Callithrix jacchus: one gene and its partner. The protein of the gene in region 1 binds, or shares a complex with, the protein of each later gene. Links are inferred from orthologs where the notes say so. Each region holds a gene or a part of one and is shown on either strand. Other genes may lie near its edges.

What was found. The genes of interacting proteins can lie anywhere in the genome.
Region 2: MED12 (region 1) and mediator of RNA polymerase II transcription subunit 24 share a complex: the UniProt entries of both Homo sapiens proteins name them as parts of the mediator complex. The link is inferred for Callithrix jacchus from reciprocal best matches to the Homo sapiens genes MED12 and MED24.

What each region holds. Positions count from the first base shown.
Region 1 is NC_133524.1:68,408,332-68,415,793, reverse strand, and holds part of MED12 (mediator of RNA polymerase II transcription subunit 12), read right to left. Parts: intron 7,159-7,462; coding exon 6,931-7,158; intron 6,759-6,930; coding exon 6,614-6,758; intron 6,452-6,613; coding exon 6,331-6,451; intron 5,934-6,330; coding exon 5,832-5,933; intron 5,732-5,831; coding exon 5,618-5,731; intron 5,367-5,617; coding exon 5,191-5,366; intron 5,012-5,190; coding exon 4,832-5,011; intron 3,503-4,831; coding exon 3,431-3,502; intron 2,986-3,430; coding exon 2,852-2,985; intron 2,689-2,851; coding exon 2,527-2,688; intron 2,258-2,526; coding exon 2,146-2,257; intron 1,980-2,145; coding exon 1,890-1,979; intron 1,069-1,889; coding exon 959-1,068; intron 713-958; coding exon 577-712; intron 336-576; coding exon 174-335; intron 1-173. UniProt on the Homo sapiens protein: Component of the Mediator complex, a coactivator involved in the regulated transcription of nearly all RNA polymerase II-dependent genes.
Region 2 is NC_133506.1:72,293,697-72,301,158, forward strand, and holds part of mediator of RNA polymerase II transcription subunit 24, read left to right. Parts: intron 1-338; coding exon 339-376; intron 377-654; exon of another isoform or gene 655-758; intron 759-823; coding exon 824-906; intron 907-1,255; coding exon 1,256-1,434; intron 1,435-1,546; coding exon 1,547-1,646; intron 1,647-2,253; coding exon 2,254-2,429; intron 2,430-5,424; coding exon 5,425-5,689; intron 5,690-5,976; coding exon 5,977-6,158; intron 6,159-6,265; coding exon 6,266-6,356; intron 6,357-6,637; coding exon 6,638-6,737; intron 6,738-7,277; coding exon of another isoform or gene 7,278-7,318; exon of another isoform or gene 7,319-7,363; intron 7,364-7,462. UniProt on the Homo sapiens protein: Component of the Mediator complex, a coactivator involved in the regulated transcription of nearly all RNA polymerase II-dependent genes.

The DNA.
Region 1 (7,462 bases):
AAATATAAGCGAAGTTAAATGATTTGCTCAAAACCTCAGAGATGGTGTTCACCGGCAGAGCCTGATGGGCTCCTGAATCTGATGAGTCTGTTGGAGCTACAAAGCTGATGCAGGGAAGGTTCTTGCCCAAAGGGGAAAAAAGGCAGGGGACATGGGCAGACAATGGAACATGCCTCCTTCTTGAAGATGGAATCAAAGCCAGCAATCTTGTTGCCCTTGGTATCGATAAGGGAGCCCTGTGGCTCACACGTGATGACATCTCGGGTCTGCTTGGGCAGTGGCAGCAGCTGGCGAACCTTTTCCAGACTGTCTGACTGGCGCTCCCCCAACTCCTTCTGCAGTTACAGGAAGATGGGACAAGAGTTCAGAGATACAGAAAAACAAGGATGGGAAATCTCAGGGACAGCACAGAACCTGGCACAGAGAAGACCCCCACTCAGTAAATGCTCATGGCATGAGTAACAAAGGAGACAGATGTGAGAAGGAAAGGTAGAGGGCTCCAGCTAGAACCAAGTTCCTGAGGCTGGACAGCAGATTCCGGTACCCGCAAACCTTGCCCCTGCCTCCTCTGCTCACCTGCAGCTTCTTTGCCAAGTTCATGTATGCACGCTTGTTTTCCTCCATGCTACCTTGGGAGATGCTAGACATGTCTGCAGCCAATGTCCCGTTGATGAGCACGCTCAGCATGTCCAACACAGTAGTGAAGAGCTCACTGAGACAGGAAGCCAGGGAGAAAGCCAGAGAAGAGAGAGGTGAAGACAGAAAAAGGCGTCAGCAGAGGACACAAGCAGGGAGAGGTGCTTAATATGTCACCCTGAGGGCACCAAAACCATATGGGGATCCCAGGGCCATGGAGTCCACAGTAACAGCCACACCAATCTCAGTGGGTCCACTTGGCGTGGAGGTAGGGGGACCTTCTTGGGTGTGAAACTGCAGGGAGCAGGTGGGGATGCTTTACTTGTTGGACTGCATGTCGACAGTGCCGCTGATGATGATCTCTAGGAGGAGCACGGCCCACTCTGTGGTCTGCTGGGTGCTGCGCTGCACCGTGTCAAACATGCCCCCCACCTGCCAAGGCCACAACAAGTCAGTAAGATAGCTCAGGGACAAAGGCCAGCATGTAAGGGAAGCTTAGTTCAAATCTGAGTTGGGATGCCTGAGGTCATGCTCAAGTTGAACCTATGCTTTGCTACATGATCTTAAGACAATGAGGGAATTCTTGACATCTCTGGGCCTCTGTTTCCAAACTTAGAAAGTGATGGGAGTTGGACTGAATGATTTCCAGGATTCCATTCAATATTCCACAATGGGTTTCCAGAGCTTCTAGGGCCCAGTCAGAATCTAGGATACTGAGGCAGAGTCCCTGCAAGGATCCAGGGTACGTAACCTACTGGACCATGACCACAGTGATCCAGCCCCCTTAACTACTTTCAGTTTCTGCATCCTTTCGGAGAACAGGGTTAATACTTCAAGACTCAGGGTGGGCGCGGTGGCTCACACCTATAATCCCAGCACTTTGGGAGGCCGAGGTGGGTGGATCACCTGAGGTCGGTAGTTCAAGACCAGCCTGGCCAGCATGGTGAAACCCCGTCTCTACTAAATATACAAAAAATAGCTGGGCGTGGTGGCGCATGCCTGTACTCCCAGCTACTTGGGAGGCTGAGGCAAAAGAATCACTTGAACCCAGGAAGTGGAGGTTGCAGTGAACTGAGATGGCACCACTGTATTCCAGCTTGAGTGACAGAGTGAGACTCCGTCTCCAAAAAAATAAAAAATAACCTGGAGCCTGGAGCCGCTATTCTCACCTCTGTTCTCTACAACCTGAGGCTTTTGTATTCCACATTTCCAGCCCTACCCTCTTCCTTCTTCTCCCCAGCTGGCCTTCTCACCAGGTTGAGCCGCAGTTTGAGTGCCTCATGCATAAGCTGCTTTGGTTTGCAATCATCTAAGTACTGGTCATCTCGCCAATTATTCACAATCTAGAATAGAAACAAATAAAACATGCAGTTCAGGGATCTTTGTGCTTCCATCTCAAAGCAGCCAATATGTTTATCAGAAAGTACTGACGTTTCCAAGTACAGAGTAGCCCCTTAGGTGCATCCTTCCCTGCCCTCCTGCCCAACTCCATGGCCCAGATATCTGTACCTGGTGCACCTGGCTATAGAGGGAGGTAAGGAGTCCCTCGCGTTGTTCATCCTGCCCTTTCAGACATGTCAGCACCAGTGATAAGAAGGGCTGCTGGCTTAACAGGGACATGCTAGAGACAAGAGGAGAAAAGAGAAGAGAAGAGGAGAGAAGAGAGAAGAGAAGACTGTGGGTTGGGAGTCAGGCAACTTCCAACCTCATTCCTCCAAGCCCCAGACTCTACTCTCTTAATCTAGCCGCTTGCTCAGCCATACCCACTTTTATCCTCTGATTTTCCACTTCCCTATTATGCTTCTCCTCCATCCCAATTATATTCTTCCCTGGGCCTGCCTCCTCTCCTTTCTACCCCTCTATCTTGGCCCACTCCCTAAGCCCCTTTACCTCTTCTGCTTTTGTCGATCACGTTCTTTGCGTGAAGAGGAACCCAGGTGCTGACCCTTCTCCAATTCCTCTCCAGCAGCCTTTAACACATGTCCCTGGACTGAGGTGGGCAGTTTAGCAATGAGAGGGGCTACCAGCCATACACCAGAGCGCTCTAGAGAGCTGGAGAACAGACACAGGGTCACAGGGGAACCAGGCAAGGCTGGAACAATCCACCCTCTCCTTTCCCTGATAGACATGCTGGCATCTCCATGCAGCTAACATCACACATGCTACCAGCAGAGAAACTCCTAAGGGGATGGGTCCCAACATGTTTCTATCTGACCTGAGCACAGGCTTGGTCTTGCTGCTGCTGGGCATGTTGCTTGCAGTGTTTCCGGAAGATGACCCTGTCTCTGCTGACTGTTGGAAAACCTCGATTGTGGCCTTGGCGATGTTCTCCAAGAGGGAGTTCATCTCCTGGGGAGGATGAAAGGCACAGAAGTGCTAAAATAGGTAGCTAGGGGTGAAGGAAAGCAGATGGTAGGAGAGATGGGAGATGAGGGAGGATAGGACTGGTGGAGATTGATGGGGAGGTAGGAACCCAAATCTGTTGGGAATCATGCCTTCTAGTACCTCCGTATTTCTCTAATTCCTCACTGTCTTCTCTTTTACATATATCCTTACATCTGTGGCCACAGAAACAGGCTCTACCACCACCACCAAGCTTCTCCACAGCTCAGAGCTCCAACACTCTCAACCCATTTCCCTTATCAACAGCTCCACTTGTTCACCATTTTCCCATCCCCTCTTATCTCTCAGTTCAAGAGCCCAAGGGTAAGATCTAGGTTCTGTGGTGGACTGCCTTCCTAACACAAGGAGTTGAATGTGAGCACAGGAAAGGGAGGGTCCAGGTACTACTTACATTGTTGGGGGTCTGCTTGATCATGAGCTGCAGCTCCAAGGAAGACTGGCGCATGGTCCACTGGTCCAAGTTCTGTGATAGAGGTCCCACATCCAGACTAGTCATCATCTGTTACCCCCAGCTACCCACCAACCTGAGGCCAATTCCTGATCTCCTGCAACATTGAATCAGACTCCTGGAGGTCTGAAAGAGACCTCTATGTGCCCATCTTTAAGAACAACCACATTTAGGGAGGCTGAGGTGGGTGGATCGCCCGAGGTCAGGAGTTTAAGACCAGCCTGGCCAACATGGTGAAACCCCATCTCTACTAAAAATACAAAAATTAGCCAGGCATGGTGGCGGGTGTCTGTAATCCCCGTTACTCAGGAGGCTGAGGTAGAAGAATCACTTGCGCCTGGGAGGTGGAGGTTGCAGTGAGCTGAGATTGTGCCACTGCACTCCAGTCTAGGTGATAAGAACAAGACTTGTCTCAAAAAAAAAAAAAAAAAAAGAAAAGAAAAGAAAAAATACATTAGTCCAAACTAGCTGAAAATCTTCTCAATTTTTAAAATGGTTCAGGAAAGATTTCACATCTTTCCCATCCCTTTATATCAGGAAGTTCTGCTTAATGCTTAACCTTGAAACCCTTGATGTTAAAGTTGAAGCCTGCTCCTCTTGTTTTAGACTAGCTGCTGAAAGTCCCTGACAGGACCTTTATAAGACAATCTCTCAAAGTCCTGTAGAGATTAGAAGGCTACTGTTAGCTAATCTCTCTTCAGCCCTATCTATTCTGGGCTGAAGAGACCTTATTCCTTAAGCTTTTCCTCAACGGCTTTATTTTTCCATTCTCCAGTCATCTGAAGATGTGGAGCAATGTGAAGTGAAAAGTGCACAGACATGTCTGGGCTGACTCTAAACCTATCAGCTATGTGACCTTGGACAAGTTACTTAACCTCTTCAAGCCTCAGTTTCCTCATCAGTCAAACAGGGAGGCTCACCTACTTCATAGGGTCATAAAGATTAAATGAGGAAATGTGTGCAGGTGCCTAGCACAGTACCTGGCACAAAACATGTGCTCAGCAATTAGTAGCTATTACTATTCAGTTCCTGAGCCATGGCCAAAATGCCAAATATACAAGACCCACACCTAGGCCCCCCAGATGCTATGCTTCCCACTGATAAGCTAGATTCACTCCAGATAGCTGTGCCCTCACATAACACTCTTACTCTGGAGTCTAGACCATATTGGACTTACTCCTCAGCCCATGCTGGAGCTGTTTCTCTCACTACCCCTCCTCTCCCCTACATCCTTGTTTGTCTTCCTCTCTACTTAACTCTCCCTCTCCTTTTCTCAAGGTTCCTATTGTTTCTCGCCAGATTGGGCCCATTGCTTCCTCCATGGCCCCCTTGGCCTTGGTCTACCTGGAGAATGCGCTTTATGCGCTGTCGCTGGGGGTTTTCCCCATCCTCATTGTCCAGGAGTCGATGTGGGTAGCAGATGAGCTGCATGAGGCGTTGTGCCTGGGCACTACTCAACACTGGGTCTTGCAGGTCATTGCTGTCCTCACACAGTGACTTAAGGCAACGTTCTCCTACCCATTCCTGAGAAAGCTGACAATCAGGGACTGGGAGCAACCAGTGAGGGAGTTAGCAATATGGGGGATGGGCTGGAATTGGTAAGGGACACAATGTATAGTAGGGAGGTGGTATGATCACGGGCTGGAAACAGGACTATATTACACAGAGGCATTTTGGAGGTGTGGGAGGAAGGTGAGACTGACCTGTTGGCAGATGCTGCGTAGCACGTACTTGGCATAGACATCCAGACTGGCTGTCTCCACAGAGATGTTGCGGCCACCCTGCCTCCGACCGCCACTGCCACCTCCTCCCTCCTCCTCTGGAAGTTCTTCTGTTCCTCCTGTCACAGTGAAGCCTGAACCCTTCAGTTCTGCATCCCCTGTGGTTCACGGGTGGGAGATAGGGAGGGCAGAATGAGATTGGAACACTGTGTGGAGACCCACCCTGGGCCCACAGAGGCAGAAACACCCCAAATCCTGCCCTATGGGACAGAAATATACTTCTGTCCCTCCCCTCCTCCCAAAAGGTCAGAGAGACCACCTTCAGGAGGGAGAAAGACTGTCCCTTGTAGTTTAGCTGGCACTCCACCCTATACACACTTCTGGCACCACTCCCTTTCTACCCCCATACCAAGTACAAACACAGCCTTGAGAACAGCAAACACAGCTCCATCCACGATGCGGTTCTGGGAGGCAGCCAGCAGGTGGCGGTCACAGGAGGAGCGGATTCCTACTGTAGGCTTGTCTGGGGAAGGCGATGAAGTCAGGGGAAGCAGGAGCAGAATCCACAGGGGCAAGGGAGCCACACTTTCTACTGTTGGTTGGTTCAGATCAGGGTCACTTACTTCCATCAGACTGGCAAGGATTGAGCTGCGGTGTCTTGAAGAGGTGAAGGAGGATGCGGCAGGTAAGCCGGGCACCTGGTTCAGAGTCCTGTTCACTACAAGCTAAAAGGAAGACAATACAGATCTGCGATGGATGAAGCTGAACTCTACGTGGGTTTATGTGTGTACATGCCTGCATGCATGGAAGTGTATGGCAGGAGCATAGGAGAGAAGATGAGGTAAAGTGAAAGGAGAAAAAGCAAGATAACTGTGAAAATGAGGTACAGTGGAGAACTGTCACGCAGTTGAAGGGTCAGAAATTGGAAAGGTCAGGGCTGCAAATCCAGGGTTTAAAAAAACAGGTTCCTTCTAGCCTTCAGCATACCAAAGGACTGGCCTTCTCGGGAAGGCCAGGGAGCCGCTGCAAGGTCTCCCACAGTGAACAATGAGAGGATGGCCGTCCAGTATGTATTGAAATTTGAGGCCTAGAAATGCTAGGGGTTACAGATTGGTAGTTCACCAGCATTAAGGAGTGAAGGGATGGCAGCACAGCGAATCAGATCCTCCAGGAGCAAACACTGCCGAGCGATGAGGATGGCAACAAAAGTAGCCAACGAATCATGAAAAGACAGGTCACTGACCTGGAGGAAAAAGCAGACAGACACCATGACTCAGTGTGGAGAGAGGCACCCACTCAAAGCTGTGTGCCTCCACTCTATGGAACTCTGCCCTGGTCAGAGGATCATGACTAGACCCCTGCCCTGGTCACTGCCCCACTAGCAAGACCCCACCCCAAGTCTCACATCGACATTGCAAAGGAGGTCGTTGAAACCACAAGTGCCGTTGTTAGAGGAGCAGCACAAGGCCTTAAGCACTCCTAGCCATTCTGCACTCAGTGACTTGCAATAGCCGGTCAGCTCTGCACACAGGATTGCGATGTCATTCACCCTAGGGAAAAGTACAAATGCCCTCAGGAAAAACCTTGCTCCACAAAACCTCAGACCCATTAACTTCTCATCTCTGCCCCAGTAAATCAAGGTTGTAGTACCTCCCGGGTACCTCAGCCCTCCCTATCTCAGGTGGGGGCATGGTGCCCTTGCTCACTTAGTACGCCCCATACCTATCGGGATCATGGTGCCCCACACAGACGTGCATAAGGGCATTGCAGACAAAGCTGTAGCGGTTAGCAGGGTTCTCACTAAGACTCTTGCCTAGCCCCGTGTATGTGAAGGTGTGAGCTGCAGGGTTCTCTAGAGTGTCAATCATGAACTCGGGTGCCCAGCGCATATTTGATTCCGATGGCTCTACGTTGCAGTAGATGGTGTTCTTCACCTTTGAGCAAAAGTCACTGCAGGGATGGAGGAAAGGAAACAGTAGTGTTGAAGAAGGTCTGCTGAGGTTGAAGGATGGTTAGGAAAGGGGAGAAAAGAAAAAAGGAGAAAGTGAGGGATGAAGGATCTTGGGACAAGAAAAGGGAGATAGGACAAAACAGACTGGGCAGGAAAGGAACCACATGGGAATAAGGAACAGGGGCCGCTGAAGGCAATGAGGAAGAGAGGGAAGAGGGTGGGCCCCACAGAGATTGGGGGACAAGCCTACTGAGGAAGAGGGCCCACTCTCAGTAACATAACAGTACGTGGAGGACACAGTCC
Region 2 (7,462 bases), on another chromosome or scaffold:
TTAGCTGGGCATGGTGGCACGTGCCTGTAATCCCAGCTACTCAGGAGGCTGAGGCAGGAGAATTGCCTGAACAAGGAGGTGGAGTTTGCGGTGAGCCGAGATCGCGCCATTGCACTCCAGCCTGGGTAACAAGAGCGAAACTCTGTCTCAAAAAACAAAACAAAACAAACAAACAAACAAACAAATAGTAATACTTTTCCTGTAGCAGCATGTCTCCTTTTAAGTTTAACCTGTAACTCAGACTCTAGCGACCACTCTCTGAGCATGTGTAGCCCCCAGCGCCCAGCTACTGCTCAGCTCATGCTCTGGTCAACGCAACCTGTCTCCATTCCTTTCAGTTTGAATGAATTCACAACCTATGGCAGCGAAGAAAGCAGTAAGTCAGCCCTGTGCATCCGCAGGCCCAGTGGGATCTGAGGAGGGGTGTGGAGGGAGAGTGTGGGAGGGAGGAGGGTGTGCGGGAGGGAGGAGGGCACCTGGGCTCAACGCGGGGAGGCTGTGCTGCCTCCTCAGAGCCATGACTGATGGAAGCTTCCACAGAGCTCGGAAGTGGGTAATGCTGGAGAAGGATTCTTCCCAGACCATCCCTGTGTCTCGTTTCCCCCACCCCTTATGACTTGGTTGGGTATGCTGGAAGAGGGTGCTGGGGGCCTTTGGTCTCAAGGAAGGGATGATGTTCCAACTGAGACTCAAGAAAAGGATTCTGAGCCTCAGAGCTTTGAAGGAGCCACGTGGTCCCTGACCTTCCTAGAGACAAATCCTGATCCCCATCCACCCAGACATGGGCTCTCCCTGGTAGCTCAGCTGTCCTGTCCTTCCACAGCCAAACCGGCCTCTGTCCGGGCCCTGCTATTTGACATCTCCTTCCTCATGCTGTGCCACGTGGCCCAGACCTATGGTTCAGAGGTGAGGAAGAGGGGAGTGGCCGGGACGGGGGCTCAGGGGAAGGAGGTAACTCGGAATTCTCCCCACCTCACCACCCGCCCCGCCACAGCCTCTCAGCCAGTCAGTATTGTGGGCCTCAGAAACCAAGTGCCCACCCGGGCTGGAGTCTGCAGAGGCCCCCTTCAGCCCCATGCTACACTGACCACTAGGTGGCAGCATAGCCCCCATCTGCCTCCGTTGGACCGGTTTGTCCCCAGTCTTCAGGCTGGGCTGGAGCAGCAACGTGACAGGAAACAGTGCAGCCCCAGGTCTAGCGCTGGCAGGCGCCGCACCCTCCACTCGGCTGGTGCCCCCTCTTCCCCTTTCCCAGGTGATTCTGTCTGAGTCGCGCTCAGGAGCTGAGGTACCCTTCTTCGAGACCTGGATGCAGACCTGCATGCCTGAGGAGGGCAAGATCCTGAACCCTGACCACCCCTGCTTCCGCCCCGACTCCACCAAAGTGGAGTCCCTGGTGGCCCTGCTCAACAACTCCTCGGAGATGAAGCTGGTGTCAGTGGCCCGGGCGCCCACTCCAAGGGTGGCGGTGGGGGCACGGCCAAGACTCTCTCCCTGAGCCTGTCCCCTGCTTCCCTGTGGTGACTTCTCCCACGCACACCCACAGGCAGATGAAGTGGCACGAGGCCTGTCTCAGCATCTCAGCCGCCATCTTGGAAATCCTCAATGCCTGGGAGAACGGGGTCCTGGCCTTCGAGTCCATCCAGGTAGCCCCGCCTTCCCAGCAGCCTTTGCTCCCGTGAGCCAGCCAGTGATGGCTTGTTATATTTCATGACAGTGAAAAGACCTTTAATCCAGGAGCTCATGTGTTTTGTTTGTTTGTTTGTTTTGAGATAGAGTCTTGTTTTGTTGCCAGGGTGGAGGGCACTGGAGTGATCTCGGCTCACTGAACCTCTGCCTTCTGGGTTCAAGTGATTCTCCCACCTCAGCCTCCTGAGTAGCTGGGACTACAAGCGTGTGTCACTACAACTGGCTCATTTTTGTATTTTTAGTAGAAATAGGATTTCACCATGTTGGTCAGGCTGGTCTCGAATTCCTGACCTTGTGATCTGCCCATCTCAGCCTCCCAAAGTGCTAGGATTACGGGTGTGAGTTACCACACTTGGCCCAAGGAGCTCATGTTTTGATATTGATCTTTTGTATAATCTAGTCTTAGCCATTCCCTCTGGCCCAGGTAGCTCTAGGAAAAATTAGACTCGTGGAGAGAGGTGTGGAATGTCGCTGGGGACTGCACTTAGATGCCCACAGAGGCTGAGAAGGTGATGGCCCAGGAATGGGAGATAGATGGTGCCCATCACCTTTCCTCTCCCCTAGAAAATCACTGATAACATCAAAGGGAAGGTGTGCAGTCTGGCGGTGTGTGCGGTGGCTTGGCTTGTGGCCCATGTCCGGATGCTGGGGCTAGATGAGCGTGAGAAGTCTCTGCAGATGATTCGTCAGCTGGCAGGACCACTGTTTAGTGAGAACACCTTGCAGTTCTACAATGAAAGGTCAGTAACCCGCCCTCCCTTCTCAGGCCCAGCAGGTGTGTTGTGAGAAATCCATCCAATAACAAGCACCCCTCTCTTCTGACCTTCGCAAACACGCTGCTCGGTCACTCACTTTCCTGTTCATGCATCCACTCACCTGACTCGGTCAACACATAGTGTGTCTCTGTGGCAGAAACGTCTGTACGCCAGCACCTGCTGTGTGTCAGAAATGCAGATCCCAAACAGCTATGATCCTGCCCTCAGATTCTCAAGTTCTAGACAACTAGCTCTCCAAAGAACAAAGCTGTGTAACTGTCTAGGAACTAGAAAAGTGTCTGGAGATTTTACAGGCCATCCCCCACCCCCAGTTATCTTTTAGGACAGTTTCCTGCCCTGGCTCTTCAGTTTTTAATTATAAAAAGCACATAAGATTTGCCATCTTAAGCATGTTTAAGTGTCCTGTTCGGTAGTGTTCAGTATATTCACACTGTTGTGTGACAAGTCTCCTCCAGAACTTTCTTCTTACGTCTCTGAAACTTTGTATCCACTGAGCAACTTCCCATTTTTTCCTCCCTCCAGCTCCTGGTAACTACCATTTTAGTTTCTGCATCTAGGAATTTGACTACTTTATATATATATATATATATATATATATATATATATATATATATTTTTTTTTTTTTTTTTTTTTGGGGGGCTGGAGTGCAATGACGCGATCTCAGCTCACCGCAACCTCCACCTCCTGGGTTCAGGCAATTCTCCTGCCTCAGCCTCCTGAGTCGCTGGGATTACAGGCACGCGCCACCATGCCCAGCTAATTTTTTGTATTTTTAGTAGAGACAGGGTTTCACCATGTTGACCAGGATGGTCTCGATCTCTTGACCTCATGATCCACTGGCCTCGGCCTCCCAAAGTACTGGGATTACAGGCTTGAGCCACCGAGCCCTGCCTATAATTTTTTTTTTTTTTTGGGGGGTGGGGGGACCCAGACCAGAGTGAGTTCACTGCAACCTCAAACCTCTGGGCTCAAGTGATCCTCCCACCTCAGCCTCCCGAGTAGCTGGGACTGCAGGCCCACACCTGGGTAATTTTTTCTATTTTTTGTAGAAACATGTTCTTACTATCTTGCTAGGTCTTGAACTGCTGGCCTCAAGTGATCCTCTCACTGTGGACTCCCAAAGTGCTGGGGTTGCAGGCATGACTCACCAAGACCTGCTGAATTTGACTACTTTTTAGATGCCTCATTTAACTGGAATCATACAGTACTTAACTTTTCGTGACCAACTGACTTCACTCACCATGATTTCCTCAAAGTTCATCCATGTAGTAGCATGTGACAGAATTTCCTTCCTCTTTAAGGCTGAATAATACTCTGTTGTGGGCTGGGTGCGGTGGCTCACGCCTGTAATCCCAGCACTTTGGAAGGCCGAGGTGGGTGGATCCTTGAGGTCAGGAGTTCAAGGCCAGCCTGGCCAACATGGTGAAACCTCATCTCTACTAAAAATACAGAAATTAGCTGGGCATGGTGGCAGGCACCTCTAATCCCACCAGCTACTTGGGACGCTAAGACAGGAGAATTGCTTGAACTTGGGAGGCAGAGGTTGCTGTGAGCCGAGATCGCGCCACTGTACGCCAGCCTGGGTGACAGAGTGAGACGCTGTCTCAAAAAACAAAACAAAAACAAAAAGAAAGAAACCTCTGTTGTGTGGCTATACCGCATCTAGATGATCCCTTCTCTGTGACACTCGAGTTTTTTCCACCTTTGGGCTATGGTGAGTAGTGCTGCTGAGATAATGGGTGTTCACCAGCCAATATGATTTGGGTGTTACCTCGCAAGGGAGCTGTTGAGAATGTCATTTATTCATTTATTTATTTAGTTAGAGACGGAGTCTTGTTCTGTTGCCCAGGCAGGAGTGCAGTGGTGTGATCTCGGCTCACCACAACCTCTGCCTCCTGGGTTCAAGCAATTCTCCTGCCTTAGCCTCCCGAGTAGCTGGGATTACAGTCGTGTGCCACCACGCCCGGCGAATTTTTGTATTTTTAGTAGAGATGGGGTTTCGCCATGTTGGCCAGGCTGGTCTCGAACTCCTGACCTCAGACGATCCTCCCACCTCAGCGTTCCAAGGTGCTGGGATTACAGGTGTGAGCCACCACGCCCAGCCTGAAGATGTCTTAATAGAGAGAAGGGAAAGCATTGAGCTGAATGAGGTTTGGGAGGGTCTGGAAAAGGACCTCTCATCTTCCTCTTGCTTCCTTCTTTTTACTTTCTTCTCTCATTTCCGTCCCCCCTCTCCCGCCCCTACCAAATAGGGAGCTTTTGCTCTGATGTAATCCATTCTAAGCTTCCTAAGTCCCATCTGGGTAAGGGATAGAGGGAAGTCTGTGACTCTATTGTGCAGGTGAGAAAAGTGGCTCTAAAAGTCATAGCAGCTTTCCCAGAGCCACCCCGCATTCCAGGAACAGTCAGCACTCGGCCAGGTCTGTATTCACATCCGAAGCCTCTTTCCTTGTGAAAATTCCTGGATATACACTTTTGTCTGCGCAGCTACCAGGGGCTGGGAGGAATCCTGTGGGGCAGCCCTTGGCCCTCTCCTGGAAGGAACTGTTTTCTTTGGGAGGAGGCCAGGGCTGGGCCAGGACCCCCAAGTGGCCCAGGGGGAAGTGATTGTGTTTATTTATGCAGCAAGTTGGCAGGGCTCGGGCCTGGGGAATGGGGGAAGTTGGAGAGTAAGGGAAGAAAAATGTAATATCTGGCTGGAGTGGCCAGGGGGAGGAAAGCCCCTGCCCAGTCCCTGTTTATAGGCTTTGTGTGCTGCAGGTGAGAGACCTGCCAGGAGCAGGGTTGGGGCCAGGTCACCTGGGGGTGTCCCCTCCCCAGCACAGAACTGGGTTAATTCCTGAGGGAGATTTCCATCACCCAAGTCCAGGGGAAAGTCTGGCGTGGGTATTTCCTCACCTCCCCTCCCCTCCCCGCCCCACAGTGGCACCTGAGCCTCAGGTCCTCTCGGCCCCCCAGGGTAGTGATCATGAACTCCATCCTGGAGCGCATGTGCGCGGATGTGCTGCAGCAGACAGCCACGCAGATCAAGTTTCCCTCCACCGGGGTGGACACGATGCCCTACTGGAACCTACTGCCCCCCAAGCGGCCCATCAAGGAGGTGTTGACGGACATCTTTGCCAAGGTGCTGGAGAAGGGCTGGGTGGACAGCCGCTCCATCCACATCTTCGACACCCTGCTGCACATGGGCGGTGTCTACTGGTTCGGCAACAACCTGATTAAGGTACTTGGGCTGGAGTGGCTGTGGGCCGATGTGGGTCCTGTGCCCTGGTTCCCTACACCTGGCCTGGTCAGCCAGGCTTCCCTGAGAGGCTGCCGTGAGCCTGATGGCTCCCTGGGGATGCCTTGCCTTGGGGTTGCCTCCTTGGGGAGCTCTGGCCAGAGGCTGGGATTCGGCCTGAGGGGTGCAGCAGCACTTGGGACCCCTCTGTGGGCCTTCCTGGACAGCCATGCTGGAGTGGCAGATCTGGGGCCCCCGGCTCCTAAACTGTCCCCGTTCCCATGCACCAGGAGCTGCTGAAGGAGACGCGGAAGGAGCACACGCTGCGGGCAGTAGAGCTGCTCTACTCCATCTTCTGCCTGGACATGCAGCAAGTGACCCTGGTCCTACTGGGCCACATCCTGCCTGGCCTGCTCACTGACTCCTCCAAGTGGCACAGCCTCATGGACCCCCCAGGCACCGCTCTTGCCAAGTAGGAGTCTCTTCAGAGCTTGGTACCACCCTGGGGGAGCCCAGTCAGACACAGAAAGCCCCTGTGGCTTCTCTGACTGTCCCCCTTTTTCTGGAACCCTTTGCCAGGCTGGCCGTGTGGTGTGCCCTCAGTTCCTACTCCTCCCACAAGGGACAGGCGTCCACCCGCCAGAAGAAGAGACACCGTGAAGACATTGAGGTAGGGCCCCTCCGTTCACTTGTTCATTTCCTGAGAATTCAGCACTTCCTGAGGGAAGCAGATGTGGTGTGATTGGTCAGGGATCTTCGGGTGGCTCGTATGGCCCCAGACTGCCTGTGGGTACGAGGGGCCTGTAGGATTGTGGGAGGGCGTGAGGAGAGAGGGGCTGAGACCCTGCTGGCCGTGCTGACCTCACGCAAATTGGAGCTCCAGCTCTTTTCCTTGACAGCTGGAAACTGAGGGGTTTAGGAGTATATAACAGTGACTCTCACACCCTCTAGGATTACATCAGCCTCTTCCCCCTGGACGACGTGCAGCCTTCGAAGTTGATGCGACTGCTGAGCTCCAATGAGGATGACGCCAACGTCCTTTCGAGCCCCAGTGAGTGTGTGGGCTGGCGGCATGCTGCTCCCTTTCCTGGGTGCTCACTCCCTGATGCTGCCGCTCTGCCGCTGCCCCAGCTGGAGGCATCTTTGCAGCTGGTCAGAGAGGGTATGGCAGGGACTTGTGGTGATCTATCCCCCATGGGGGTGCTCTGTGTCCTGCCCCTGGAGAAGACGTTGCTGTTCTCACTCCCTGAAAGTTGAAGCTCCTCTGCTCAGGTCTGGCCTGGCCCATAGTTCCACCCCAGCCCCCTGCCCCCTTCCTTATCCCAGGGTTGAGGGGATGACAAGCTACCCAAGTGAGTTCACTGGCTCAGGCACAGCCTGTACCATTGACTCACCAGCTCTGACCTTCCTTCCTTTCCCCAAACATGCCTGGAGAGGCCCAGGCTGGGGCTAAGGGCTACTCCCCACCTTCCCGCCTAAAGAGCACGGCCCCCGTACTTCCCTGGAGGTTATCCTTCTCACTGTCCTCTCCTCCCTGCCAGGCTTCCTGTTAAGGGCTCCTTCTATGGCATTTAAATTTTCCTGTTTTCAGAGATTTCTCCTGAGCCTGGATGTTTTTCTGAAGGCTTTTAGGGACTATGGGACCAATTACACACTTGATCAGAAGAAAGATGCCAGGTCGGCCGGGCGCGGTGGCTCGAGCCTGTAATCCCAGCACTTTGGGAGGCCGAGGCAGGTGGATCACCAGGTCAAGAGATCAAGACCATCCTGGTCAAC